Arabidopsis thaliana: one gene and its partner. The protein of the gene in region 1 interacts with the protein of each later gene in a pairwise test. Each region holds a gene or a part of one and is shown on either strand. Other genes may lie near its edges.

Evidence for each region.
Region 2: the proteins of SAP10 (region 1) and FRS11 interact in binary tests that used the Arabidopsis thaliana proteins (3 or more experiments, as listed by UniProt).

Annotation. Positions count from the first base shown.
Region 1 is NC_003075.7:12,974,844-12,988,486, forward strand, and holds SAP10 (stress-associated protein 10), read right to left. Parts: upstream 1,796-13,643; 5' UTR 1,486-1,795; coding exon 1,093-1,485; 3' UTR 1,005-1,092; downstream 1-1,004. Other genes in the region: AT4G25390 (Protein kinase superfamily protein), read left to right, coding at 2,648-4,603; AT4G25400 (basic helix-loop-helix (bHLH) DNA-binding superfamily protein), read left to right, coding at 6,383-6,553, 6,745-7,137; AT4G25410 (basic helix-loop-helix (bHLH) DNA-binding superfamily protein), read left to right, coding at 10,929-11,153, 11,316-11,675, 11,760-11,840. UniProt on the Arabidopsis thaliana protein: May be involved in environmental stress response.
Region 2 is NC_003070.9:3,356,127-3,374,454, reverse strand, and holds FRS11 (FAR1-related sequence 11), read left to right. Parts: upstream 1-14,601; 5' UTR 14,602-14,683; exon of another isoform or gene 14,684-15,153; 5' UTR 15,154-15,183; coding exon 15,184-16,161; intron 16,162-16,360; coding exon 16,361-16,804; intron 16,805-16,999; coding exon 17,000-17,620; 3' UTR 17,621-17,828; downstream 17,829-18,328. Other genes in the region: ADL6 (dynamin-like protein 6), read right to left, coding at 1-43, 147-274, 359-442, 710-829, 910-1,011, 1,338-1,485, 1,591-1,927, 2,074-2,191 and 5 more; AT1G10280 (Core-2/I-branching beta-1,6-N-acetylglucosaminyltransferase family protein), read left to right, coding at 5,716-6,312, 7,019-7,660; GRP23 (glutamine-rich protein 23), read right to left, coding at 8,179-10,920; AT1G10250 (paired amphipathic helix Sin3-like protein), read left to right, coding at 13,993-14,130, 14,223-14,318; SK18 (E3 ubiquitin ligase SCF complex subunit SKP1/ASK1 family protein), read right to left, coding at 18,304-18,328. UniProt on the Arabidopsis thaliana protein: Putative transcription activator involved in regulating light control of development.

The DNA of each region.
Region 1 (13,643 bases):
GATGCTGGGTAGGTATTTTCTTTACGCTAAAGATTGATTGTTATCTGAAGGAATGAAACAGACGAGATAAAAAAAACTTGCAGAAGATGGAAACTGTAATTTCTTTCAAGGGTTAAAAAGTCATTCGTCAGTCAACTGCAACGTCTAGTTGTTTCCATACTCGGTTTCAAACAAAAGCTGACATGCTTCAGAAAACCTATCCATAGATTCAAGCTTCTCCATCATCATCTCCTTGATTTCAGGTTGTAAGGTGGATTTTGAAATAGATTGTCACCGTCTTTAAACACCTGGATATGCTTGGGATATATTCCACTAATTCTTCTCTTCTTCTCTTCCACCGTAGTCTATCAACTCAAACTTCTCTAGACACGAATACAAGCATTCGGGATAAGAGCCCCTATCGCTCTGAAAGCTGATGCGATAGGGGATCTATCTGTTGATCTCTGAAAAGTTTTGACATGGTATTAGCAATAATGCTAGTAAGTAACCACACGTCAGCAAGTGTTTGTGCTGAGTCTTAAACATACATTTTAGGCTCAATACTGAAAACTACACACTAAACGGAATTATTAGGCTGGATACAGAAACTACACACTAAATGTAGTTAAGTGGTCAAGTGATCATCATTCTTCTAACTATAACCTTATTATGTAGACAGGAAACAAACCGATGACCTTATTCGTCTAAGCTCATAAGATTATAATATACATAAAACGCATTTGAAATCACGAATCCAATTTGTAGTTAATCCAAGCATATGTATAAACAAGCGTTTTAATGATTTGTTGTGATATTATGGATTTCATGTTCACAAGTTTTTGCAGTGTGATACAGAGCCGATACGTTTTGTTTAGGGTTTGATCAGTGAGTCGTGACAATAAAGTTTTGACAAAGTTCAGTTTTGTTTCTAGCTTGTGAATTTTTGGTTAATTTAATTGACCATTGAAATGGAAAGATGGCTTGCTTGTTTTGAATCTCTCTTCAGTTCAGGGTGTTTTGTTTAGCTAAAAGAACTTATATTATTACTGGTACAAAGAATTTAACAACATCAAAATCTTAGCCAAGGAATCTAAACATCTACGACACATATCACTAAAACCTCTGCAACTTGTCAGCTCTGATCAAAGGCAACTGTGTGGCCAAGGCGAGCCGTCCAGATTGTTTGTAATCAAAGGGACAAGAATGCTCCTCCGGATAACGATGTGACCCGCAAAACATGTGTCCACATCTACACTTGAATCCCAACATTCCTACCTTCCTCTTACATATCCCACATCTCCTTTTTTTGACCGGTTCTTCTTCAACGGCGGGACTATTCGTAGGAGGGCAACACTGTGATTGCTCGGTCTCGGGTTCGAATCTTAAAGCGGGCGAGTGTTGAAGAACACTCTTTTTGTAGCAGAGAGAGCATAGATTGTTGTTCACTCGGGTGCCGTAGAGTCCACAGCCTCCCTCGCATGGTAATGCTTCTGTTTCGTTCACCATCTTCTTTCTTCTACTTCTTGCGATAGTTGTTATATGAGAGTCAATATAATTCAATATTTTGTGTGAGCTCTATCAATGACTCTAAAATCTAAATATATAGAGGATGTCTATTGTTCTTAGTTCTTCTGGAATTGTGTAGTGCAATTAAGTTTCCCTTTTTTAATACAATTCGGTAAGTGTTTCCTCTTTTGTAATAGTCATCTACGTTCGATAAGTGTTTGCTAACGATTCTTATTGCAAGTTATTGATTTTCCTTTCCTCATATAACTAAGAAAGGAAAAGTTACAATAGAAACGCTGAGAGATATTTCATAATAAGGAAACTGAGAAGACGTGTTTAATCCTCTTCGAACAGTCATAAATCCAATAAAGAAAAACGTTGACTAATGTAAGAAAAAAAAGACAAACCAAATAAATAACTAATCCAACTTGATGATAATTTAGACAACAGCAGCTTCCTGGTAGTTTCTAAAACGTCGGTTCGTTTTCTAAATACAGAAAAGAGTTGCGTGCCGTTTTCACTATCTTAAGGAGTAATTAATTAGTTTCAAGTAAAATACCAAATTAGACAATTCCACATGGTGATCTTTGATGGCCTCCCCACCACCGCACGTGAATTTGGAATACCTTGTTTAGTTTCATTATCAAATTACACCTAAACGCGTTACTAATTAAATTATTTATTGTCTATCAAAAAGCCACGCAACAACAGTCTAGCATTTAAATCTTCACGTGGGTCTAACCCGGTTCCGGTTTCATTATCCGGGTATATGTTTTGGCTTCGTCTGAATTTGAATTTGAGTTTTCTCATTCAAAAAACGATAAATAAATAAAATATTGGTCAGTTATTCTTTCTATGGTTCTTGTTTGATATAGAAAGAATAACAGGTTTTGGATTTGTCTGTGTGTTTGGACTTTGGATTAGTATTCATTCGGTTTAACCAATCAAAATTCGCAACCTTAACACGTTATAAACCATGATGTAATGATTTAATCAATGATCAATTAAATGTATAGAAATTTATTTTCCATTTCCGCAACAGCTCAAAACGTTTTCTCTCTTTTCCGATTTTAGTCTAAAAACTGAAACAAACACAAAAAGCAACAATTTGTCTTTGAAAATCTCCTCTGTGTATGGTTCAGCTTCGGTTTACTAAATCTCTATGCCGTCACGATCAATCTCGGCACCGGTTCCGGTTCTTGCTCCGGCTCCGATCGTTTCCTCTTTAGTCCCAGCAGCGCCGTCAGGACATCAGAATAAGACAACGCGAATCTTTCCACCGTTCGTGGTGGCTGGAGCCGGCGCCGGTTTCTCTCTTTTCATCACTCTCTCCGTCTGTTTCTGTAAATTCAGCCGGAAACGTTCATCACCTCCGGCGGAAAACGCTTCCTCTTCGCCTCGGAGACCGTCGCCACGTGAGTTTTCATATTCGTCTCTCCGTCGCGCCACCGGTTCTTTCTCGCAGGCGAATAGACTAGGTCAGGGCGGATTTGGCGTCGTGTTTCGTGGAACTATCTCCGGCGGCGAGAATGTAGCTGTTAAAGTAATGGATTCAGGATCTCTTCAAGGAGAAGGTGAGTTTCAGAACGAGTTGTTCTTCGCCGCCAAGCTTGACTCGCCTCACGTTGTCCCTGTTATTGGTTTCTCTCATGATCGAAAACGACGACGTTTGCTTCTTGTTTACAAGCTTATGGACAATGGTAATCTCCAAGACGCCTTGCTTCACCGGAGATGCCCTGAGCTTATGGATTGGAATCGGAGGTTTTTGGTTGCCGTTAACATTGCCGATGGGATTAAGCATCTTCATAGTCTTGAACCACCTGTGATTCATGGTGATATTAAGCCTAGCAATGTTCTATTAGATAGTCTCTTCTCTGCCAAAATCGCTGATTTTGGTTTGGCTAGGTTGAAAGCAGAGCAAGTGGAGATTAGTGTAGCTCCGGAGCGTGATGGTGATGGATCTATGGTTGAAGAAGTAGAGAGTGTGGTAACTACTGTGACTGGTTATGAAGATTTTAACTTTGGGTTGGTTGATCAGTCTCCGGAGAGTGTTGCTAAGGTTCCTGGGTCTGTGAGTGCTTCTCCTGAGGCGACGACGGTTGTCTCTGTTTCTCCGGAAATGGGAGAGAAAACGGATGAGGATGGTGGTAGTGTTGTGGTGATGAAGAAGGGGAAAGAGAGTGAGAGCAAAGATTGGTGGTGGAAGCAGGAGAGCAATGTTGAAAGAGGGAGAGTGAAAGAGTATGTAATGCAATGGATTGGTTCAGAGGTAAAGAAGGAGAGACCAAGCAGAAGTGATTGGATTGAGGCGGCAGCTTTGTCTTCTTCGTCAAGTAAGAAACTTGAGAAGAAGACTAGCAAGAGACTAGATTGGTGGTTGTCATTGGAGGAAGAGGATGAGAATAAGAAGAAGAAGAAGCGGAGGATGGTTAGAGAGTGGTGGAAAGATGAGTATCGTAGAGAACTCGCTAAGAAAAGGAAGAAGAAGAAGAAGATGACTTTAGAAGCCGAGTTTTGTAGTGATGATGGGAGTAGTAGTGTGAGTCAATGGCGGCGTGGTAGTGGTAGTGGTAGCAGCATAGATTGGTGGTTAGATGGGTTAAGTGGTGAACGATGGTTGAGAGCAAGGGGAAATAGCCATGACTCGGTGAGCGGTGAGATAGCTAAGAGCTGCGGAATTAGTAGCACGCCGAGCATGAGAGGGACTGTGTGCTATGCAGCTCCTGAGTACTGTAACTTGGACAACAACGTGTCAGAGAAATGTGATGTCTATAGCTACGGTGTTCTGTTGTTAGTTCTGATTTCCGGGAGGCGCCCGTTGGAGATGACGGGCTCCGCGAGTGAGATACAACGGGCAAACCTCATGTCTTGGGCGAGGAAGTTGGCGAGAAGAGGAAAACTTGTTGATCTTGTGGATCAAAAGTTGCAAAACTTAGACCAAGAACAAGCAGTGTTGTGCATAAAGGTGGCTTTGTTGTGTCTGCAAAGATTACCGATTTCACGACCGTCAATGAAAGAGGTCTTGGGAATGCTTAAAGGAGAAGTGAATCTACCAGAGTTGCCTAGTGAGTTCTCACCATCGCCACCATTAAAGACAACGAGGAAGCAGCGCCGTTGACTAATTTAGGAATCATTTTGATTATTATTATTCAAGTGTTACACCGCTAGTTTTAGGAACTTTGATTCAATTTCACTATACTTTCCAATTTCTCTTTCTATAGTTTCACACGCATTATTGACATTGATTTTTTTTTTACACGTTTATACTTCGATGTCAATATGTCATACAACACTTCTTCAAATCGGAGTTGCTCGGGATTGGATTATTAGCAGAAAGAAAAGGCTAAAACTTTTTCCACCTCCAAAAGTCATTTAAAGGTCACACAAATCCTATGGGCCTAATCAGTTAACAAACCACTTCCAATCGAGTTAAATGAAATGAAGATACCAAATTGGGTCACGTTAGGAGTCAGCAGTTTGTGTTCTTTATATATGGACATGGGCCATCTTCGATTTTTCTTATTCGTTTCTACTTAAAATCACCAAGATTTATTGAATTTTTCTTCTTATTATTATTTGGCCCTTATATAGAGTATGGTCTATCCATAATTTGGCCCAGTTTTTTAAAAATACTAGATATTTGGAACATGCATGCTTTTTATTTTTAAATGTATCAGATTCAGATGAAACTCAATTATTAAAAAAAAAATCATACATAAACAGTTTAAAATATTTACTACTACTTAATTATTTTCGGATTAAGAAATCCCTTATAACATTTCATAAAACATAGTATTCTGCATTTTTTCAAAAAGTTGTTGTAATGTTTAGAAAACAAATTGAAAATGCAACAGTTTTTAATGAATAAATGCAAGGCGTTATAGAATGTTGGTTTGTTTTTCATTTTAAGTGTTTTTCAATATTTTAAATAATAACAACAACAAAAATCATTTGCTTTCGACTAGAAACAATGACTTATATCATTGCTTATACGAGTGCATGTTACAATCGTATGTGGCGGTTAGTCATCCTACTTGGCTCGATCGATGGTGTATTTGCTGAGGAAAGGGCTTTGTGTTCTGATTAAATTTGAGTTTTGATGGTAGTATGGCTTGAGTAAAGGTTGAGGATGTTGTTTCATTTTCATATGTCTGGCTCTTTCACCTCTTTGGTGGGTATGTGTTGTATCAAACAATCGTCTCTTAATACAATACCAGTTGACAAAAAAAGAGCAGTAACTAATTCTTATAAACTATAGTACATTATTTCCTATATATTTTATAACATAAAATAAATCATATTTTCTCATAATTTAAAGTGCTATTCAATGATTTTTAGGAATACGATCCAGCATATGGCCTTGCAGTCTATAGTATATATAAAAATAATTATATGGTACCTATGTCAGAGATATCTAGGATATATAGTAGATCGTCGTACAATTGATATATCATATAGTATGTGTATACAATAAGAAAATAAACATATAAATTGTACGATCTCTAAAGAATACTTTAAAAATGATAAATATTAAGATATGGAATGTTGAAGGGAACCTATTAAAAAGAGAAGAAATTAATGATGAAGCAGAAAGACGTCATTGCTTACCCTAACAAACCTCTCTCTCCATCTTTTTCCGATACGTCTACCAATAACTTAGTATTTTTTTCTCTTAGTTTTTAATATTATAACCAAACCCTTTTACTATCTTTTTTCCGACTCCCATATCTTTTTTTTTTCCGACTCCCATATTATTCAACTTTACAACAAATCCCTGACTAGAGCAAATCCCAGAGCACAAGATCAGATCCTTCTGTCTCATCATCATCATCATTATTATAATCATAATTACAAGAAGAATCGTTGTTCAAAATAATTAACGTATAACGACTTCTAGATGAATAATTTTCAGGAGAAGAAAAGAAGGCGTAGTAAAACGCCGAGAGTTTGTAATAACGAAGAAAACATGGAGAAGTTAGTACATAAAGAAATTGAGAAACGAAGGAGACAAGAAATGGCTTCTCTCTACGCGTCTCTCCGCTCTCTTCTCCCTTTAGAGTTCATCCAGGTCAAAACCCTAATTACTCTTGCTTTTAATTTCTTCCTCTTCTTCTTCTTTTTTTTTTGTTAAGGAAAAAGTCCACAAGTATGCTTTGTCGCTTAGTTTGTTAAAAAGATTCACTAGAACTCTAACACTCTATCATCACAATATCTCAAGTTGACCTCTACACCTTAATTACGTTTGATTTGGTTTTGTAGGGAAAACGTTCAACGTCAGATCAGGTGAAAGGGGCAGTGAATTACATAGACTATTTGCAAAGGAATATCAAAGACATAAATTCCAAGAGAGATGACCTCGTGTTATTGTCTGGACGAAGCTTTAGGAGTAGTAATGAACAAGAATGGAATGAGATTTCGAATCATGTCGTGATTCGTCCGTGTTTGGTCGGCATAGAGATAGTGTTGAGCATTCTCCAAACGCCATTCTCAAGCGTTCTGCAAGTGCTTCGTGAACACGGTCTCTATGTTCTTGGCTACATCTGTTCCAGTGTAAATGATAGACTCATTCATACTCTACAGGCTGAGGTACAATATCTCGAGCTTACTAACTTTACAGCAATCGAAGCATTACTAACTTTACTAAGAATATAGAGAAATACTTAATCATAACATATATTTCTAACTAACTTTACTAAGAATATAGAGAAATACTTAATCATAACATATATTTCTAACTTTGTTAATGTTTTCGATCTTGTCGGCTTACAAACGCGTTTATGTCCTAATTTGGAATGGAATATAGAATATAGCATACATCTTCTTCATAGCTTTTTGGAATGGCTTATTGTATCAGAGTAATGAATATATATGTTTGAGTTAATATGTGAAGTTGATTTGCCTTATGTTGAGTTAATATGTGAAGTTGATTTGCCTTATGTTGCAGGTCAACGATCTGGCTTTGATCGACTTAGCAGACCTTAAGGATACACTTACCCTGATGAAGTAATTCAAATAATCAAACGTTTTTTTTCAGTAGATTCCTTTTAACTTCTCAAACCAAAACGATGTATATATATGGTTCTTAGTACTTTTACTGTGTATTTATCTAGCTACTTTAAAGAATTTGTGCGTAAGAAACTAATGCTAGCTAGCTTTAATATCACAACCATCTCTTACATATTATATAAACTATGGTCCATCTAAACTTTTTCTTTATCATTGATGTTTTGACTATCTTGTTTATTCACAGAAAAAAATCTTCATTTTGAAAATTTGATTAAATATCTTATGAAAACAAATTATCTTTCAAGAAAATATATTAGTTTACTCTATCTTTTGTTCATTAGGGACAATGACTATTATTTTGAGGATTACCGCATGAGGCCTTCTTATTTCTAGACGTCTCTGCTCCTATATATAAGTCATATAACATTCTTATCTGAAGATGTACGTAATCTGTCGAGTTAGGATATAATTAAGAGAATGGTGGAATTTAATTCGTACACATAGAATTAATGGTATAATTAATTTACTATTGTTGGTGTGAGTAGCATCAAATAGATGATAGAATAGTATTTTGAACAAAAATTCTGATAGATAGTATAAGCCTTCAAACTAAAATTGTTTCCGGACGAATACACGAAAAGAAAAATGAAATAATATTAACTTTCTAAAAACTCATCGATTGATGGGTATACACAAAATGGTTAAAAAGAAAAAAAAATGATTAACAGATTTTGAGATTATATAATACTGAAAATTTGAGTCGGAAATTGATTTGCAATATGCAAAAGACAAGAAACATGAGGCAAAGGAAAAACCATTTTTCAGAGAAATCTAAACATGTGAAATTCGTTTTTCTAAAAGTAACAATTTGCGAATTTATCAGCGACGGATATTTTTTAAAAATAATATGTAATGTTTCTGTTAGAAAGTACTTTTGGTTGACAAAAAGAACTGTTACAAACTTACTTTGTTGTGTACGCACTGTTACAAAATTATCAAATTTGAATCTTGAAAATGGTTAATTAGGGTTGTGTGATACGCACTCCAGATCTGTAATCACAAATTAGCTAATGACTATAAAGTCGATGCAAAAAGTAAAACATAGGGAATGTATATTATATGCCGCTTAGTTGAAAACCGCTACATATCTATGATCGATTTAAATATTTGAACTCTGGAACTGTTGACTTTTCTCTTAGACTTAAATTTTGGTAAACAATTTCAGCAACTAAAATGAGTGAGAAAACTTGGTTGTTGAAAAAAAAAGAGAGAGTGAGAAAACTTTGGTTTAGTTTTCTACAGTGACCAGCTTTGGGGTTTTGGGCGGAATTAATTAGCCAAGTAGGGTCTAGAAAATGTGATCTTTTAACACATGGCCAAAGTCGTTTATATTTGGTGATTCTGTTTAAAACTCACAATTTGTTTTTTTCTTTTCTTAAATTTTGAAATCATATCTATTTAGAACTAAAGTTCATCATAAATTTTGATGACCCTAATAAATAATATAGCGTCAATATAGAGAACTTAGCTGGAGATATATTGTAAATATGTTGTTGTAACGATCTATTACGAATAACTATTGAAATACAATACAATTATTTAAAAGAGCAATATATAATTGTATAATTTACCACATCATTAGGATACTTCGCCCCAAACACATATTTTAATTCGTTTGAACGAACTTAAATAAAAAAAATAAAAAAAATCATTGGTTAAAACTTTTTATTGCAGAAATAATTGGTTGTTACTGTAGAAATAGCGGCTTCTATTCGCAACCGTCAGATATACAAGTCTAAAGAGATGTCTTTAGTTTAGTCGTGACTCCTACAAGGCATGTGTGTACGATCGCCTGATAGGGAATAATTTAACTTTGCATAATCCATATTTTCCGACAATCATCGAGTTGACATGATTCGACATTTGGTCATACACGTAAATATAACAACGTGCTTCTAATTTTAATTTTATAAGATTAAAACTATCAGATAGTACTTTTTGGGATATAGGAAAAATGCATCTCATGTAATAAAACTATAGCAGAAACGTGTCTTAAAAATAATTTACATAATAAATAGTTAACTTGTTTTATCATGACTATAATATGCAAACATTATTGCGGTTGTACGCATGTAATAATATTACTGTATATAAACTGTTATATACCAGCTCTTATAACTTTAAAACTCTATCCATTTTCTTAACGTAATGTATAGTATAAGTGAATGAAATTTTTCTCTTTTTACAAATTTATCTGGTTTATAAAAGTTGCTAATATCAGGCATAATATGGCTTATGGCGTATATTGAGCATATCAGCATACAACACACATCCCTAAAGAAAAGACTTTGGTCAAACATCCAACGAGATTATCTTTTATAGTATAGTGGCTCTTAATATGCGTATATACATATATATAAAAAACAAGGGATTCGTGACAGAGAAGAAGGATTTGCTTTGCCTTGAAAGGATAACCTTTACCAAAAGGATTATTTTTTAATAATGGAAACTGTGGAGGGATGTCATGGTTTTTATATTCAAAGCATATTATATTGAAATAGTATCTTCTTAAGAACAGTATATCTTTAGCATTATATATCTGATACGCAATGGATATGGACGTTTAATAAACATGTGAAAAGACTAGTTGCAGTGTGAGCAGGTGCAAATAAAAAGAAAGGATCGGAGCCCACATGCGACCATCGCAACATCATCAACGGTTGAGATTTGAGGTTTTGTTTTCATGTATCCGAATCTTAAGACATGGTTGCACTTTCACGTCGACATTTGTCAAATAGTTATATTCTCCAGTTCCTCCTAGTTGTATGAGAATATAATTTTGTTTTAGAGAAAATGTGCATTATGGTTTTTTTTTTTTTCCAACAGTTTGCGTTTTAGATACTAATTCTGTATTTCATGGAAAGAGATGGATTCGCAATGGTATTTCACATAAAGGAAATTTTGTGTTGGATGATGGTATGACAAAAGCTGTTTGGAGGGTATAAATTATTAAGTTGACATTAATTTCAAAAATTTATAATTATGTGTTTTAATTCTCTTAATTAAATAAACTGTAGAGGATTTTATTTTGTTATGTATATATATTGACTATAAGTTGTATTCTACTAGTTTGTTACAAATCAAGCCCGAGGCTCATCCCATAAATGAAATAAAAAAAAACTGATAACTATTTCAATTTTATTTAAAAAAAAAAAAAGAGTAATTCCGTAACCTGCATTATTTGGTCCTCCTACTGTGTATCTATTTAATATTTAAATAATGGTCCTCCCTCTCACCTAAGGAGACATAGAGAACCATCTGGTTCTTTAAGGCACCATCATTCAACAAGTAAACAATAAAGGAAATTAAATTATCACAAGACAGAACCACAAAATCCTTTGGAGATCTGACACTGGTAAAGCTCAAAGTGTCAAACTATGGATCCTTATAAGAATCTTAATCCAAAAGGTTACCAGAGACAGAGACCGTTTAGCTCAGCCGGCGAGAGTGGCGGCAGCGGCGGCTCCGGTACGGCCCATGAAACAGATGACAATAAGAAGAAGAAGAAGCTTCTCCACCGCGACATCGAACGCCAAAGAAGACAAGAAATGGCTACACTCTTTGCTACTCTTCGTACTCACTTACCTCTTAAATACATCAAGGTTCATATTCTTAATTACTCACTCTTTTCTCTCAAATTTATTTACTTTTTCGTTATATCAATTGTTCGAAGAAACCAAGATTTGGTGAGATTTGGCTGCTAGGGTTGTGAATATGTCGTTTTTTGTATTTAATTTAGTTTTGTATTTAATCTTTATTTATAGGGAAAAAGAGCTGTGTCGGATCATGTAAATGGAGCGGTAAATTTCATTAAGGACACGGAAGCACGGATTAAAGAACTTAGTGCAAGAAGAGACGAGTTAAGTAGAGAAACCGGCCAAGGATATAAATCGAATCCGGATCCAGGAAAAACTGGATCCGATGTAGGCAAATCGGAGCCGGCGACTGTGATGGTGCAACCACACGTGAGCGGTTTAGAAGTGGTAGTGAGCAGCAACTCCTCAGGCCCCGAAGCTTTGCCACTATCAAAAGTGCTCGAGACAATTCAGGAGAAAGGGCTTGAAGTCATGAGCTCCTTCACTACAAGAGTCAATGATAGGCTCATGCACACTATTCAAGTAGAGGTATGGTTGGTTACAACATGTCAACATGCCATGTCAATGGAAGTTAATCTAGGGTTTCATTACATTTAACTATATTCAATACAGGTTAATAGTTTCGGATGCATAGACTTATTATGGTTGCAGCAGAAGCTAGTTGAGGATTTGATACTTTCGACGGGGTACTAATCATGCAGAAACATACCATTCGTAGTCCTAAAGAACTTCCTCATCGTATGATCTCTTTTACCCGAGCTCTTCATTCGTTATATGAGCTTAGCTAAATAGAAACTCATTTCCAAATTATTGTCCTTTTTAGATGTGGTATTGAAGCCTTGCATGTTAGTGGATATAAAACAGTATTTTTTGTAGATATCATATGTTTGTTGCTCCAATTATTGTTTTCTTGTTCATGAACTTATATATACTTAGAAGTTAAGAACTAATGTGAAAGTCATATATAATTATAAACACTAGAATTTCACATGGTTCTAGTTCATATATCAATGGAAGACTAATATTAGCAATGTTCGATATGGTGTATTTTTGTTCATGTGTTTTACAACATTATAACTATGGTTGATGTTCTAATGAACTAATCTCACCGTATACTTGATGCAGAAAAAATCAAAGTCTTCTTGAAATTTCGTTATGAGAGCAAGGTGCATAGGTGTTAAAGTTCATTCATGGATTGAGGTGTAGCTTTGGTTTAAACAAGTTCAAGTGACTTCATGGGGTAGATCATAACTTCACCATGATTCGCCGCCGTAAAGACCAAGGGTCTGATGTTTTCAGTAGAGATTTTTTTTTTCTCACGGGCAAGCCATTTTTTTGTTTCCCTTTCATTATAACATTTTGTATCACTCCATTGTTAGGTTTTCTTGGGTTTTCTCGTATGGAAAATAAGTTTTTCTGTAATACATATCCATGAATCATTTAGACCTGTATTAGAAGGAAAATCCGGAAGGGCATAGTAAAATAAAGGCCAATACAATAGCATAATATATATATATCGCCTAGTTCTAACCAGATAAGTATGAAGCAAGGGTAGGTGAGAACCATCTTTTGGGCTCTATAATAGTCAGAATCTGCTAGGTTGTTTCTAGCCTACTATTCTCTACGCTATCAGTACCACATTGGTGAATTAGATTTCGATATTTTATGTGAATTGTTCACACATAAAACTGCGAAAATTGAGAAGTAACATAACTGTTATCTCTACGATATATATCAAAGATGAGAGACTATATATGAAGTAGTAGCACTAACCTCGATACAACCAATCCTTTGGGCGATTCGAAAGTGGTAAAATAGAAGTTCCAAATAACTAACAGATGGTAATACTAACCAGTAACCACACAATAAAAGATCGTTTGAATGTACGTGCATGAGTTGATAACCCTAACACAAATAAACATACATACAAATGCCATCACTATTTTGAAATTTTAAATAACTATTTAATTCATAAGCACAAGGCCTCACATCATCAAATGAGTAAATGACATAGCAAATGTGAAGTCAGACAAATTATTTATACAAGATTATGATATTTAATTACGATATTTTTTTCGGAAATAAGAAGCATATTACAAAATTGCCATAGATAAAAGCCTAAGATTCAATGCAGAGAACCACCTTTCTATTTTTAAATCTTGAATTTGCAAAATCTCACTTTCTTTTGTAGTTCACGATACGACACAGTATTATACATATCCCCAGAATCTTGGTTTCTTTTCTTTTCATACGTACCCATAAGCATATGAACAGATCGACCACATATTATTTAATAAAATCTCATTACTTTAGATCTAAATAGTCACTTTAATTAATACATGTCACGAACTTAAGCGAAGTTGACAGTAGTTCAAATGTTTTAAGAGATACGCATGATGAGTGGTTAAGATCTCACTAATATTCGTTTGATATCTTATATCATTATTGGTAATTTAATTAATTATCAACTAGGAGTCTTATTTTTTAATTTAAATG
Region 2 (18,328 bases), on another chromosome or scaffold:
AGATCGCCCTTTCAGCTCTTCCTCGCGACGTTGTCTTTCCATTCTGATGGAGTCAATACAGTGCATCGTCAGAAAGAGAAATAATTTTCAGTCATGAACCATTGAAAATAAAAACAAAAATTGCAAAGAAAGACAAGCCAAAATACCTCCTTTGCACAAGACGGATAAAATGTTGAGGTGGTACAAAAGCGCGTTCCATATCAACTAGTGCAACCACCATTTTCTTGGCTTCATTCTTGAAACCATCAAGTGCTGCACTTGCTATAGCTACAACCTGGTTGATGATTAGTCAGAAAGGAATAACTGTTACCGAAATGATAAAATATTACTGAATAAAGCACCAAAAAATCATTATTACCTCTCGCTTGAAAGGAGGATATCTCCCAAGTCCAGGTGTAGCATTTGCAGAAGCTGAAACTATGTCAACAAGAACTCGGTGAACCTAATCAAAAGTTAAGACCATGTTAGCTCAACACGTAAATAAGACAGAAGCTGGATGCATGAGTTTTAAAGTAGGAACCAAAAAATAGCTACATCTACGGTAAGGGATATTAACTTACTAAGGCTTATAAACCAGAAAACTTGACAGAACTCTAAATAACAGTTCGAAGAATTAAAGTGAGACAAGCCATAGCCAGTTCACAATGCAGTAAATTTCTAAAATTCAATCCTACTGCATGTACCTAAAAAAACATGTAAACAAGCACACCTCATCAACACAAAGGCGTGCCGGGTCTTTAGCCAACTCAAGGACAATCTTTATCAACGATCTCAACCCTTTCTCTGGAGATATAAGATAAGGTTGATAACCATCTGCCTCCAAAACAACCTGAAAATCAAAGATATTTTGACAAATCAAGTCTCAAAACTTGTCTCGTGCAGAAACTTAGGACAGAAGAAGACACCCACCCTTTTAACATTGTTCAGGTCAAAATGTCTATCCAATGGAAGCTGCTTGATACGGTTGGGGAAATTTCCTTCAAAACTTGCAACAACTTTCCAACCACTTCCCTGAACAAGAATCAAAAAGTTTTGAGAAAAACATTTGCCAAGCTCCAAAAGGGACTTCAGCCCATAAACTGAACACAGACAAGTACAAAAACTCTATATCAAACACTCAGTTGGCTTATACACATATTATAAACATCCACTATCAGATTCATGAGATTCCCAACAATATAATGTGCTCTTACCAAGCGTAGGCTAGCAAGAGACTTTCCACTACACTAGTACCAAATCTGAAATGGCTGATTGCTAATATTTGAAGAGTTCTTCTCTCTCACTATATTCTTGAATTTTCGACTAAATCTAGTTAACTTTTGTAAGAATGTACTTACTTCACCACCAGCCAAGTGCAGAAGAAACTTGTCTTCAAACTCACGGCAAAGCTCCAAAGCTATAGCCCTTGTACCTTCAGCACTGTTAACTAGTTGTTCACCAAGCCTCGCTAGCTCATCCTGCACTATTTGAGACTTACCCTGGAGCCTGTACAAAGAATTTGAAAGCCATATGCGTTCAAGCAACCAATGTCATATGCCAACACCATAATAAAAATCATGAAGAAAGCACATATATGGAGAGAAGCAATACCCAGACAGGACACTTGGAAGCCTGAGCTTCATTCTGCTACGAATCTGGCTAGCAAGGGTATCCACCAACGCAATTCTGCCAAGCTTGCTTTGTGGAGCCCCAGTCAAAATGGACTTAAGACTTTCACTCTCAGCACGCCAAGCAGTTTCTAAGGAGTTCTCACCACTTCCAGACTGTGCTGACGCAATTGAAACGGATTGGCCAATAACAGCAACCCATGGAATGTCAGTTGTTTTTGGAGGTCCTTGATTTGAAAGAAGAGCCTGAACAGCTGCAAGGGCTTTCGAGTTCTCTGCTGCCTGGTCAATTTTTCCAATAATGCCTATTGTCCTAGTACCTATAAGTAGGGAGGAGTGATGTTAGCTAATGAGTATTTTAAGCAAACTGAAGTGATAATAGGTAGGTAAATCAACAGTTCTTATCAGGTATACAAATAATAAACAATATTAAGATAAGACAGATCGGAAATACAGATGTACTCACTCTCTGGATCATACTCCTTTGCAATCTTCAGGGCTCGGGATGATGAAATTTCAGATGCCTGGCTAGCAGGCACTATAACCAGCAGTATGGCATCATTGTGTTGCGCGTATTCAGCAATCTTGCAAAGAGACCCAAGAAACAAACAACAATTTCAAAAGGATAAACATGATAATGAATCTATATTATCACTTCAGTAGGAAACCGATAAAAATAGTCAAAATCTTTTGTTTCGTGGTTGTCAGGCAAGTTAAGGATATGACAATGGCATTAAGTAGTTCCAAGCCTCACCATTGACTCGTCCACAATTCTCTGGTCCAGTCCAGGCAGATCAACTAATTTCAATGGTGGAGCTGCAATGTAAAGGGTAAACGTAACAGGTTATGATGGTCAAAGAAAATTTAATACTACGAAACTGTCGGTCATATGTCATATGTCATAACTCATGTTCAAAAGAGTGTGTACTGTTTATGTTAAAGCTCCGTTAGATATTTAATCTGATACCCACCAAAGTAAAGCTAGAAGCTCTAAACTAGTGTACTAGATAGTATATAAGGATAGCAAGATATTACAGCTGACCAGTTCACGGGTATCAAAGATAAATTCATACACCCAACTTAGGTTAGCTAAGGATGTGCTATTTGAAGAGTAGATATAGGCTTGCCACTTATGATTGTGCAAGTAAAAAGGGGCTTACCTGTGCTGGTACGAAGTTTTAAGTTTATTTCATCACGATTCTTCCCTGAGGCTCCTTTGCTAAGTCTATCTTGCAGAGAATGTCTCAAAGCACCTAAAATATACCCATGTAGAACACAATGGAGATATTATGAGAAGACTGATCGAAATTTTTTTATCATAAATGCAGAAAGAGCCTCACATAGCATTGCTAAATTGCATATGTTCATAGATAGAGACTTACTTGCAGAAACTTGTTGAGATTTATTGTCGATTTGCAAGATAATTGCCTTGCTGCTCAAAGAACTCTCCCTGCTCAATTCAATTATTATAGGAGCTCGTGTAGCACCATTCTCACCCGTCGGCTGTGTATAGTAAGTGTAGCAGACACAACAGAGGTCAGTATTAGTATAAGAAAAGGAGTAAGCCAATAATAACCATAGACTCAATGTACAACTTACCAGCACTGGATGCCCAATTAGACTGTTTAGAACTGCAGACTTTCCAGCTCCCTGGTTCAGTATGCAAAAAGAGATAAGTAACAAATAACAAAATACATCAGCCTTCTCCGGCACGAGTCGCTCCTCATGTAACCATATATCCACTAATAAAGAGAATCCCAACAAAACTAGCTATAAACGATGAGTGTGTCCTAGCAAAATTCGATAAAAACCTAATCTAGATCCAGAAGATCCACGATATGGCAATCCAACATACACTCGAACACAGAATAAAACCAGCACGAGCCTAAAGAGAGGAAAATCGAGGAGCGTGGAGTGAGAGCGAGGAACTCACCACATTTCCCAAGGCAACGACGTTGAGGAAAGTGGCAGGGCGCTTGGAAGAAGAGGTTTCGTCGGGATCTTCGTCGGCGAGGAGAGACGCCGCCTGCTTCATCGAATCTGAGAGCTGAGACAACTCATCGATCGCCTCCATCGCGACTAGCAAAAGCCCTCCGCGAATCGAGATCGAGTAACCGATTCAAAGTGAAGAGATCTGGAGGAAGAAGGAAGCCACTCGATTAGATCTGAGCAGACCGGAACCGAAATCGGCGGCAATAGGCGGGGTCTTTCCCGGTGAGACGATGGGCCGGAATTTGGAATCCGGTCGCGATGGTGTTAAGCTAAGATTTTTCGTTGGGGATTTCGTAAGGGAAGGCAGAAATGAGCGAAGACGAGGTCATAAAGAGGACGTACGTAAGATTTCACAATTACACGGGACAAGATTCAAATTTCAAAAGACTTACAAAAATCATATCTTTCTAATTTTTTTCTGATCGGTCTCAAGTGCTTCTTCTTTTTCTTACTTAAAAAAAAAAAAAAAAAAACAATGTGATGTGAAATACACATAAAAAAATAAAAAAAAATTATCAGTTCATTTAACAATTTATCATCTATTAGATCCATTCATATAACATTAGATGATGTTGGAATCCCACATTACTAAATCAATGTGAAGGTTCAAATAAAAATGTAATCAAATGTTGTTGTGGATCTCGTTGTTGTTCATATAGTTCTCGCGACATAATTTACCTCAAGGGAAGGCAAACAAAAAATCTATTCACAAGGTGTAACTATTTTCGTAAACTATTATAGTTTTTTTTTGGACAAACAACCCCTACTAAAATCTATTTGGTGTATGTTTTTTGAATAATTGATCCTACCAACCTAATTTTTTTGAACTATATGTGTTTTTTGTTGCCTGAATCTCATCTTCCCTTCTTTAGAACTGTTGTCTATCATCATACCTTCCAACATCTTAGGACTAGTTTGGCAATGTTGACAATTCTTTGTGATGTATGACAAGTATAATTATAAGGAAAAAATAAATAAACATTGGACATAAAAATCAGAAATTTCCAAGCTAACTATATGAAATTTCTAGGCACATTTCTTGGTTCTTTTGATACCATTTCTTTTTCCTTTTGGACATCTGGATATCATATTGTTTGTTTGGGATACTAGTTCTTCCCAAGTTTTTAATCTTAATTAGCTGCTTTGGATCCTTAATAGAAAAATAAACATTTCATATATTCCGGAAATTAGTATAGCCATCGGTTTTAGATTTTCTGGTGATTAAGATATAAGAAGATATTTTTTCAAATATAATAATGAAAAAACAAAATCTACAAATCATTAAAAAGGAAAAAAAAAATCAAAATTAGAATACAATACATTGTCTCAATACTATAACATAACCAAAAGAAGCATCAATAAATTTTACTAATAGTTAATAAGTACAGAAAAAATCGAAAAATTCTAGAAATGTTAAAAGTAATTTTTTTAAAAATAGTAAGGATATAGAAATTAGATAATCAATAAGTTTGACTACTGGATATCTAGAATTATTTCTATAAAAAAAAAAGTGAAATGTCGGACCAAAGAGTTGACGAGCACTAAACCACGTCACAATTAAACGTGGGCCCTCCGGCCCAATAACTTAAAACCAATAGATTATTCCCATCTGGCAAGATCTGCGGACTTTGAACTCGTTATGCTTTTCGACGTGGAGTTTTAAACTCAATTAATCTAATTAAATTAAGCATAACATTCCAATTAATTTTGTTCTTTTATATATATAAGATCAAAATCAACCACACACACACATAGATTTCAACTGGAAGAAACAAAAGACCAGATTTGTTTATGTTTCTTCTTCTTCTTCTTCCTCTCTGCATGAAATTCAGTTTCTGATCTGTTTCAGTCATCGTTTCTCACTTTCCTCGAAGATTTCCACAGATCCAATTTCCATTTATCCACTTACCTTTTTCGATTTCGTTTGATCCTTGGATTTAATTATATGTTACAAATTTAGGAAATTTCTCGAGGAGATTGAATGCAATGGATTTGTGCTTGAAACAATCAGATTCTCTTTGAATCATAAGAATGTTTCCCTGAAACTTTATTTTTGGGGAACAGAGATCATCACTGTGTTGTTGTTTGGGTAGACAAGTTTTGAGTTTCTCGAACAATGGCGAGAGGAGGGAAAGAGGAAGGAGAAAAACACATAGGGTTACTAAAGCTGGCGCAAACGCTGTCGTTTTTGCTAATTTTCATGGCTGGAATCATCATCGGTCTCGCCGCAAGTTCTCACATCGATCGCTACTTCAATTCTTTGCCGAGGATGTTCTCATCAACCACTAACCTCCAATCGATTCCTTTTTCGACTCCTGATTACTCCAATTGCACAATCATCCACCGAGACTGCACAGGTAACGACGACAACGAGAGCGACGACGGAGGAGTCAAGGCGGAGAAACCAAAGGTTCGAGATTGTTGGAGCATTGATGGGTTTGTTCGGCCAGAGAATCTGAGTCATGGAATGACTGATGATGAGTTGTTCTGGAGAGCTTCGATGGTTCCGGTGAAGGAAGAGTATCCGTACGATAGGGTTCCGAAAGTGGCGTTTATGTTTCTGACGAGAGGGCCTTTACCTATGCTTCCGCTTTGGGAGAAGTTTTTTAAAGGCAATGAAAAGTACTTGTCCGTTTATGTTCATACGCCTCCTGGATACGACATGAATGTCTCTCGTGATTCTCCCTTTTACGACCGCCAGATCCCCAGCCAGGTACGTTTTGATGCAGGACAGTGAACTTTTTGTGTCTTGCTTGTGTTCTTCAGTGGATCAGAACAAAACAAATACTTAGTTTCACCAGTGACTTAATCTTGTATACAAGAACAGAGTAATAGATAAGTAGATAAGAAATATAGTCATTCTGGATCATGGAGATCTAGTTCTCTAGAGGAACAACATGTAGATCTAATCGGCATGATGGAATCCAAGTTACACTGGCGCGTGACTATTTGAGATTGTTTATAGGATTTGAACCTTTTAATTGTTTCTTCCACTGTCAGCTACATCTGTTTCAAGGTTGTGTATTAGATGAAGCTTTGTTACTAATTTTGCTATTATGTGATTATTTGGAACATAGCTGGTTTTAGTTTAATGATCGGGAACAGCTTTTATTATAGAGGTGATCTGCTTAGCTGTGATCTGCTTAGCTGTGAACTAGGAAACTATAAAAGACTAATTCATAGACACATTATATAAGCTTCTCTTGTTGATTTTTACACCTTTTATTGTAGTAATCCCTTTAATTTTCTCTGTATGTCACAATGATCCTGGTAATTGCATAACGCTTTGTTTGGTTCTTCAACTTGGTCATCTGATGAATCATGGATGGTCTGTGTCATTGTATGCTAGATCTACTTGATAAAAAAATCTAAAGAATTCTGTCTGGTTCTGATGGGTTTTTTATACTTGAATTTTTTAGAGAGTTGAATGGGGATCCCCACTATTGACAGACGCAGAGAAGCGTCTTCTAGCCAATGCATTGCTGGACTTCTCAAATGAGCGTTTTGTTCTTCTCTCAGAGAGCTGTGTCCCAGTTTACAACTTCTCAACTGTCTACACTTACCTAATAAACTCTGCTTACAGTTTTGTGGACTCTTATGATGAGCCAACACGTTATGGCCGTGGCCGTTATAGCCGCAAGATGCTCCCGGATATCAAACTCCATCACTGGCGCAAAGGGTCTCAGTGGTTTGAAGTAAACCGTAAAATCGCCATCTACATCATCTCAGACTCGAAATACTACTCATTGTTCAAACAATTCTGCAGACCAGCTTGTTACCCAGACGAGCATTACATCCCTACTTTCTTGAACATGTTTCACGGTTCAATGAACGCAAATAGAAGCGTGACATGGGTTGATTGGTCCATAGGCGGTCCCCATCCAGCTACATATGCTGCAGCTAATATCACAGAAGGGTTTCTCCAATCTATAAGGAAAAACGAGACGGATTGTCTTTACAATGAAGAGCCAACTTCGTTATGCTTCCTTTTTGCTCGCAAGTTCTCTCCTTCTGCCTTAGCTCCTCTTATGAATTTGAGCTCTACTGTCCTGGGGTTTTGAGAAAAAACAAACTGATTCATTTCTCCTCTTCTTTCTTCTTTTATAGGGATGAGATGAGATTCTTCTACGAGATATATAATATACATAACATAGGACTCTTTTTCTTTCTTATATAGTTTTATTCTTTTGGTTATAATCTCTTCATTATTTGGGGTTTTATAGAGATGATCGTAATGGTCAAGCCTTTTGTATGTAAGAGTTTTGCTTCTGCCGACCTGCAGAGCTAATCTAGTTGTAGATTTACGAATATATTATTCATTTTGATCACTTTTTGGAAGAAATGGAATTTAATGTTTTGATCGAATTACTGATTTTGAATTCCATTACTCTTTAGAAGCCATTGGCTTCAAAAGAACCATACATACAAGTGAAGAAGCAAGGGCAACGAACGTAGTAGATTATGATGTTGATCCTAAAGAAATAACTACTAGAGTTTGCAAAAAATAGGAACCACAAAGCAAAAGCCAAATTAACTATGAGGAGAATGGTGGTGCAGAAGAAATAGCGAGTTTGTCAAACTAGTTCCTCAACTCCACTACCTTTTTTTCTTGTGTCTCTTGGCACTCATGGGAAGGCCCTGGCTCCTGTTGTTGAGGAAGATGACTGTCCACAGAGTTTGACCACGGTGTCTGATTAGCCACCTCTCCTGGCACGGGATTTAACCACTGTGACTGCTGATGGCTAGCTGTCTGATTAGACCACTGTTGCTGCGCTGTCCACCCTGACTGCTGGCCAGCTGTCTGGTTAGCCCACTGCTGTTGCTGGCCGGTTGTCTGATTTCCCCACCCTTGTTGCTGGCCGGTTGTCTGATTAGCCCATGGTTGCTGCTGGCTAGGAGTCTGATTAGCCCATGATTGCTGATGACCAGTGTTCTGATTAGCCCACGGTTGCTGGTGACCATTATTCTGATTAGCCCATTGTTGCTGCTGGCCAGGCGTTTGATTAGCCCACTGTTGCTGCTGGCCAGGCGTCTGATTAGCCAATTGTTGCTGCTGACCAGGCGTTTGATTAGCCCACTGTTGCTGCTGACCAGGCGTCTGATTAGCCCAAGGTTGCTGCTGGCCAGCTGTCTGATTAGTCCATGATTGCTGATGACCTGAAGGACTTGACCACCCCGATTGCTGAGACCAAGATTGCTGCTGTTGATATCCCGGTGCCTGTCTCGACCATGACGGTGGCTGTTGCCCTGCCGTCTGATTCGACCACGATTGTTGCTGCTGGTTATCAGACGTGTTGGACCAAGAGGGATTCTGGCCATTATTAGCCTTGTAAGCTCCTCCTGCTGTTTGACCTGCAGTTCCATTGGCCCAACCTGAATTGGAATGCACCACTCCTTGGCTCGTCCATGGGGCCCTGTCTCTAGGCTGCTGCGGAGCTGCAGGTGTGGTTCCAAACACTGCGGGTACCCTAGGTGGAGTGTTACCAGACTGCCCAGCGTTTCTAACCGGCCGGGCAACAGAGTTCAAAATTTTCTCAATCTCCTCACGACGTCCTGCCTTCTCAAAAACCTCAATGATGAATTCCCGCAGCACAGTAGTAACCCCAACATTATGTCTAATCATCTCACCAACAATGTCCTTGGCTTGGTCAAGTGCATCACCATCACAAAGACCTCTAACCACCACATCATAAATGGAAGGATCTGGTTTTGGTTCCCTCTCTCCCATCTTAGTCAAAACTTCTGCAGATTCCGTGAGCTTACCATTCTTAATCAGCTCACCAAAGACTCTTGCACCGAAATCAGCAACCACCCGTAGATTCACATCAACCATCCTGTCCAACATCTTGACAGCATCGTCAATTCTCTCTGCCTTGAGATAAGCATCGATCATTGCTCTATGACTTGGAGCATCAGCAGGCAAAGATCTAGATACACCTTCAGCAAAGAACCTTTCAGCTTCTGTTAACATCCCTTGTTCACAGAATCTTGTTACTATGTTACAGTAACCTAAATAATCCATCACAAACGGTTTGGAGGTGACCTTACTTCCGACCTTCTTGAATGTATTAATAGCTTCACTAAACTCTCCCATCTTGAAACATTCATTGACCATTATACCAACCGTATCCGAATTCACCGAAAGGATATTCGGAGGAGCGTGATTATCCAACATCTCATTAAACAAAGCCCAAGCTTCATCCTTCTTACCAAACTTAAGAAACACTTCCAAAAGTACATTACCAGTCGGTGGATGCATTCTGAATTTCTTATCTAACAAAGACCTGTAAGACTCCATAGCTTCCTTATCGTTCCCTTTCTCAAACCAGTACTCCATAAAGGTAGCATTCACAATCCCATCATAAACAGTACACTTAGACTTCAATTCATCAAAGAACTCAACAGCCTTATCGAAATCACCAAGGTCCAAATATCCCCTAATCAGATTGTTGTACACCGTGGAATCCGCAGCTTGACCTTTGCTCAACATCTCCCTTAATAAACTCGCAGCATCTCCGATCCTTCCAGCTTGAACCAAACCTTTGGTCAAATGTCTATAAGTAACTGAGGATGGAGCAAAAGGAGCATTAGCCAATATGTGTCTGTACACTTCAAGGGCTTCGTCGACATTCCCTTCATCACAATGAGCGTTGATGATCTGATTGTATGAGACTACATTGGGGACGATGTTAGACTGCTTAAAGAAATACTGAAATAGAGAAATCGATTCACTGTAACGCTTGGCTCGGTACATAGCGGCGATGATGGCGTTACAGGTGAAGACAGTAGGTCGAGTATTGGAAAACACAGACTGGCGAGCGAGCTTTGATGCAGCGTCGAGATCTGATGCTCTGATCAGTGATTGGACTCTGTTGTGAAGGTTAAGCCTTTGGCCGACGAGAGCGGAAGTTGAATCCGGAAGCCGTGGCGCGTTGGGATCACGTTTTGGAGGAGGAGCTGAAGGATCGCGACGGAGAGCGTGGAGAGGAGGTTCAATTCGGAGACGACGTTTACGGCGGCGGCGCTCAGCAGCGGCTTCTTCGGCTGAAGAGAAGGCCATGGTACGATGCGGGATGGGTGGATAGGGAATTGGAGGGGTGTGATTCTGAGGAATCTGGAATTGGGAAGGATCATTTGGAATGGGATTAAGGTTTGGGTATTTCTCTGAATCCTGATTATTACCAGTGGTCGTCTCCGGATCTTCATTTGCCGGGGAAAGTGAGATGTTGTGGATGCGTTGGTGGAGGAACGAGATGGAAAGAGGGCTACGGGTAGTGGTAGTGGTTGTACAGAGACGGCGGAGGAGGTGACTGAGAGACATGGTGGAGGGAAAATGATTTAGGGTTTTAGAGGTTAGAGGAAGACGAAACCAATGACGATGGTGGGAGTAGAGAGAGCGAGCTCGTGGCTTAAACCCTTGGATGTGAAGAAATGGGACTTTTATTAAAAAGTAATGTCGAAATGAAAATTAAAGGACGACGTCGTAGTGTTTAAATGAGGGCTGTTTGGTAATACGTGTAATGTTATTCCAAAGACAAGTAAAGAAAGGTTGGATTATTTAGGGCTTCTCCTTCAAAGGCCCAAACGATATTAACAGACCATAATACGTGTCTCAAATAATCCATAGCTGGTGAGATGCCAACCACTAAGCATGCACTCTGCATATGGATGGTTGTTGGAAAGTTTCCATCCTAGTGAGGAAATATCACTTGAAGAAGTCGAGAAATTTTGCCATGCATGTCGTGGTTTGTGTGAGTGCAAAACTAGCGTGGGTTCTGATGATACAATAAAGGTGTGATCGTGGGGTTTAAAATTTAGGACCATAATAGGCTTTTTGTGAAAATTGCAGATATGGGTCCGGGAAGTAAATAACAGTTTTGGAAAAGTTCCAGTATCTTTATGAAAAACTCGGCATCACATTCAAACTCGGTATTGACTCATATTCAAAACGAGTCCATAATAAAGAAAAAAATCAAACTTTCTTGAAACTGAAACTTTATACGAAAATGTTCGAACTGCATGCATACTAGTTTTTGAAGAAAGATCATTAACAGTATTAAAGATATATGTGAAATTTTATATGAAAAGATGCTCATATAACGTGAAAACAGGAATTTGTTGAACTTTACATGGAACAAATCATGATTTACTTCTTGTTCATCTTCTTCTTAAACATCTCCATGCCCCATATTTTGACAGCCTCAAAGCCCTATGTTATATAAAGAGGGAAAATCTTTGCAATATCCTTGGCGTTATCTTCGTTTTTCATCTTGATGAGATCGGTGTTTGGGGTGACCTTCTTCTTCTTCTCTTCCACGGTAGTGATTGCTTCTCGACAAAAAGACTTCAGCGAAATGAACTAGAACAACTTGGAAGATCCTTTGTGAACTGTTTTCGTCGTGGTGATCTGGGTAACGACAAGAGAATCTTAATCGCTTGAAACCATTTTTTTGTGGAGAAAAGTTTATCAGGAAAAGAAACAAGAAGGGATTGATCATACGATATGTAACGATATATATAATGATATTAAAGGGGTAAGACCATGTACATAGCTGATATAATCAGAGTATCAGAAGCCCATCAATAATTGTTTAATGGATCAGAGTATACAGTTGGACCTGATCAGAGTGGAATGATACTTCTAATACCCAGTATCGAGTGACGTGACGGCAACTGATTCGTCAGGAAAAAACAGAGAAAAAAAAAATTCTAAAAAATCACATATACCCATACTTTATGAGTATCATCTATAACCATAAAAGATCATTAAAAATCATTGAAAAAATTTAAATAATAAATAATACTAAAAAATGTTTAATAATACTTTATGAGTATCACTTATAACCATGCTCTAAATTTATACTCGTGAACATATTAAACGGGCCTCATCTGGCCCGGCCCATAATTTGTTGGCTAGGCATAGGGAAGCGTTTTGGCCTTTTTTTCCAAAAACAATTTTTGCTTTGATGAAATTAAAACTATTAATACACAAAAAAAAAATGTTCACTTTTACTTTTAGGCGATGGCGAGAGGATGTCAGTAATTGGGTTACTGAATCGGAATACTGTTATTGGAGTCGTTCGTTGTGTTTTTACGGTCAATTTGGTTCTATTCAGATATGGTTATCTCCGGTTTTGGATTTGAAATCTCAGATACAGCGGCGGATTCACAGAGTTCCCCGAGTGCTGCTGCGACTGATGGTTTTGGAGCCGATTTCCTAGCATGTATGAATATGTCCTGGGACAAGTTCGAGACGGACAAATAAACGAGACCATATGTTTGCTGCAGCTGACAAGTCTCACTCAGCTTTCTTGTTGATTGATGAGATATAAGAGCAGATGGGATTAGCTGGATATGTGCAGGAAACTGAGATGGTATGCATATAAGTTAAACAAATCGTTGGAGCATATAAGCAGACACAAACAATCAGTTGTAGCCGCAGAGGCATTCCTTTGCTCATTGTGAGATTTGGCAGATCTGGAGCACTAACCATTCGTAGTCTATTGACAATCACACCTGATTCTTATCCCAGGTGATTTTGCTACAATTGTGGGAAGTTTGGACATTATGCTTCTGAATGTAAAGCTCCTAGCAACAAAACATTTGAGGAGAAGGCCAACTACGTTGAAGAAAAAATTCAAGAAGAAGACATGTTATTAATGGCTAGCTACAAGAAAGATGAACAAGAAGAGAATCATAAGTGGTACCTCGATAGTGGTGCAAGTAATCACATGTGCGGGAGAAAAAGTATGTTCGCGGAGCTTGATGAATCGGTGAGAGGAAATGTGGCTTTAGGAGATGAATCGAAGATGGAGGTAAAAGGTAAAGGAAACATTCTTATTCGATTGAAGAATGGAGATCATCAATTTATTTCCAACGGTTACTATATTCCGAGCATGAAGACAAACATCTTGAGCCTTGGACAACTCTTAGAGAAAGGTTATGATATTAGATTAAAAGATAATAACCTTTCAATAAGAGACCAAGAAAGCAATCTCATTACCAAGGTGCCAATGTCGAAAAATAGAATGTTTGTCCTCAACATTCGAAATGACATTGCACAATGTCTTAAGATGTGTTACAAAGAGGAGTCTTGGCTATGGCATCTTCGATTCGGACATCTAAATTTTGGAGGATTGGAGTTGCTTTCAAGGAAGGAAATGGTGAGAGGGCTACCTTGTATAAATCATCCAAAGCAAGGTTGTGAAGTTGTATTCAAGTTTAAAGCAAAGTAATAAAAGTTCTATTTCCTAAAAAACTCTCTCAAAACACTTAAACACTTTCTCCATTACCTCTAAAAGAATTTTACTCTAACAGATTTATCTTCCAAGTTAATAGCTTTACTTGAAAAACGATTCCTTACTGATATTCAAAGCATAACACGTCTAGGTTCATGGATGCACTCTATAATTTACTTGACGGTTCTATTGACGACAATACAAAGTTTGAAGATGAGTGCCGAGCTATTTTTGGAGCACAGTCATATGTTCTTTTCACATTGGACAAGCTAGTTCAGAAGTTTGTTAAGCATGTAAGCAAAACTAGTGTCTTGTCTTCTTGACTCTCTACTTCCATTCTCTCTCTTTCATCTGATCACTGGGATGGTTTTTGGAAATGCTTCAGCTCCATGCAGTTGCATCTGATGAAACAGACACCAAGCTTCTGCAACTACATGCGTATGAGAACTACAGAAAACTTTGGGAAGATGATTTGATCTAGTGTATCATGAGAATGCATGTGCCATCCTCCATGAGGCAAAGATATACCAAAGAGCAACACTCCAATCGTTACATTGGTTAACCGCTGGAGCGTTTTGGAGCCCGAGAATGCCAGCTCATCCACTTTAGAGCCAATTGGTCAGATAGAAGCGAGCAATTCAAAAATAATAAAAATGAAAATTACCGAACGACGTCGTATTGATAAATGGGGGCTGTTTGGTAGTACGTGTAATGTTGTTCTAAATACGAGTAGGGAAGAGGCGTAAGATAACAAGATGCGTAGGAGAAAGGAAAGGATTATTGTCACTTGCCTGCGCAAATTAGGGCTTCTCCTTCGCAAGACTCTCTTCGCCAGCTTAAATCAGTGTACTCTCTCTTTCTCTGTCTCTATCTCTTGCAACTTCTCTGTTTCTAATCTCTTCACGCATTTGTGTATCAAGGAGTCATTTTTTAACAGAATATGAACATATTTGAAAATTCGAATCATGCGAGTTTTATTGAAAGCTTATGTTCTTGTGATGATTTCAAACTTTTCGAAAACAGCGACTTTCAAATTTCTTCAGAAACTATGAAAACCCTATCTTGTAATTGCCATTATCGGCATCCAAAATGTGCTTAGCTCGGAAAATTCGAATTGAATTAGCTTCGAAAGCTCCTAATTACATTAGAAAATTCAATCTTTATACGAAATTTTTGAATTCTGAATCTTTCTAGCTTCGTACTCATGAGTTTAAAAGCTTGTTACAGATTATGTAGCACTTCATTGGAGATTATCTGGTTATTGTAGATAGTAATGTTACAGAGTCTCATAAGTGCTGTTGTTATGTGCTTGTCAGGCAAAGTGCTGAATATACCTTAGGAGCTAAATGTCGGATGATCCTGGACAGATGTTGCTCATCTATGATGATCCTTCAGATCAGCGATCCTTGTCTTTAGATGATGCTAGTAGTACTGAGGAATCTCCAGACGATAACAATCTCTCTTTAGAAGCAGTTCACAATGCCATTCCCTATCTCGGACAAATTTTCCTTACACATGATACTGCTTACGAGTTCTATAGTACATTTGCAAAGCGTTGCGGGTTCTCCATACGCCGTCACAGGACAGAAGGAAAAGACGGAGTTGGCAAAGGACTTACTAGGCGCTACTTTGTTTGTCACCGTGCTGGTAACACACCTATCAAAACTCTAAGCGAAGGAAAACCACAGAGAAACAGAAGGTCTTCTCGATGTGGATGTCAAGCATACTTAAGGATTAGTAAACTTACTGAGTTAGGTTCAACGGAATGGCGTGTTACTGGTTTTGCTAATCACCACAATCATGAGCTCTTAGAACCAAACCAAGTTCGTTTTCTTCCTGCGTACAGGTCCATATCAGATGCAGATAAAAGTCGGATTTTGATGTTTTCCAAGACAGGAATTTCAGTTCAGCAGATGATGAGGCTCTTGGAGCTTGAGAAGTGTGTCGAGCCAGGATTTTTACCATTCACCGAAAAGGATGTCAGGAATTTGCTTCAGTCATTCAAGAAACTCGATCCTGAGGATGAGAACATTGATTTCCTGAGGATGTGCCAAAGCATAAAGGAGAAAGACCCTAACTTTAAGTTCGAGTTTACTTTGGATGCAAATGATAAGTTAGAAAATATTGCCTGGTCGTATGCTTCTTCCATTCAGTCATATGAACTCTTTGGAGATGCTGTTGTTTTCGATACAACACATCGCTTAAGTGCTGTTGAGATGCCACTTGGAATATGGGTTGGAGTTAATAACTATGGTGTCCCTTGCTTCTTCGGTTGTGTGCTTCTACGGGATGAAAATTTGAGATCGTGGTCATGGGCACTACAGGTTTGTGGCACACTAAGCTGATTAAGTTCCTTGTCCACTTATTTCTGTTTAAAATTCTTGGCAATTGTCTGTGGGTAGGGCGAATAAGCAAATCAATTTGTATTTGTTGTAGAAGTTATTTGTAGAAGCTCCTATATCCAAAAAGCAAATCAATTTTGTTTGTACTCTGACATTTTCTTTAATTTGTCTCTTATGGAAGGCATTCACAGGGTTCATGAATGGGAAGGCACCTCAAACGATATTAACAGACCATAATATGTGTCTCAAAGAAGCCATAGCTGGAGAGATGCCAGCCACTAAGCATGCACTCTGCATATGGATGGTTGTTGGAAAGTTTCCATCCTGGTTTAATGCCGGTCTTGGGGAGCGGTACAACGACTGGAAAGCTGAATTTTATCGCCTCTACCATCTGGAATCCGTTGAGGAGTTTGAGTTGGGTTGGAGAGACATGGTGAACTCTTTTGGACTGCACACAAACAGACACATCAACAACTTGTATGCCTCACGTTCCTTGTGGTCTTTACCATACCTGAGAAGCCATTTTCTAGCTGGAATGACTTTGACTGGCCGATCCAAAGCCATTAACGCCTTTATTCAGAGGTTCTTGAGCGCACAAACCCGGCTAGCTCACTTTGTAGAACAAGTATGTTCTCTTCTCCTTCTGACAGTGTTTATTCATTGCTAGTGAAATGAGTTATTTCAAGCTCTTAGGCCTTCTATGCAGTAATTGTTCAAGCATTTATTTTATAGGGTTTATGCATTTTAATCTCATGAAATGGTACTGTACGTGTGTTGAGTTTGCTATTTTTGCTTATTTGAGTTATGGGTGAATATGCAGGTGGCTGTTGTTGTGGATTTTAAAGACCAAGCTACAGAACAGCAAACAATGCAGCAGAATCTCCAAAACATCAGCCTAAAAACTGGCGCCCCCATGGAATCTCACGCAGCCTCGGTGCTCACTCCTTTTGCATTCTCCAAGCTCCAAGAACAGCTTGTGCTTGCTGCTCACTACGCATCGTTCCAGATGGATGAGGGGTATCTCGTGAGGCACCACACAAAACTCGATGGAGGAAGAAAAGTGTATTGGGTTCCTCAAGAAGGCATCATAAGCTGCAGTTGCCAACTGTTTGAGTTCTCTGGGTTTCTCTGCAGGCACGCACTCCGTGTTCTCTCCACAGGAAACTGTTTTCAGGTCCCTGATAGGTATCTTCCACTTAGGTGGCGCAGGATCAGCACGTCGTTTAGCAAGACGTTCAGAAGTAACGCTGAGGATCATGGAGAGAGAGTTCAGCTTCTGCAGAATCTGGTTTCGACTCTGGTCTCAGAATCGGCTAAATCGAAGGAGAGGCTAGATATTGCAACTGAGCAAACCTCCATCCTCTTATCCCGTATCAGAGAGCAGCCTGTCTCCTCACTTGCTATCAGAGACATTTCTTCTTCTGTGCAGAGGAATTTTTGATACCACAAATGCTATGCGTGTCTAACTATTTTTAGATAACATAATTACTTTATTAACCTAATCTTACAAGATTGTAACTCTTATCTTAACTTATGCATTGTTAAAAATATCAATCTTATATTCGTTGACAAAAAAAAGAAAGATAAGTCAACCTTAAATTCGTCGTGTTCGACGAAATAGTACCATGATGTCCAAAATTCCCATTAATAAGATTATGCATTCAAATGAGCCCGTGATTCTCACAAAGCCCAAATCCTTACCAATACGTCAACGACAACAAAGATGGTCGCACAGAGTGGGTCCTCTCGATGAGCGCTGTCATACACGCGTCGATCATTCATTTGCCACTAATTAGAATTTTGAAAATTTTCTGGAGAGAACTAAAATAGATAACCGGCCAGATAATAGAATTGATTTACGACCGGTTCTACTAGTATCTTCGTTTTCAATTGAAGAACAATAGAAGAACACACTGATTATTTTTTTTAGGCTTTTGAACAAGATCGAGAATCGAATTAGAACGCTAATAGAGCAAGAACAACATTGGTCAATCTACAAAGAATATTACTTGAGACCAAGTCGATAACGAAAAGATGAACCCATTCACGAAATCTAAGAGGGGGGAGAAGAGAAACCCTAAATTGTGCAATTCGAAACGAAATTCTGCAAACCCTAAAGTTGGATTACTCATTAAAAGTCCAAGCATTC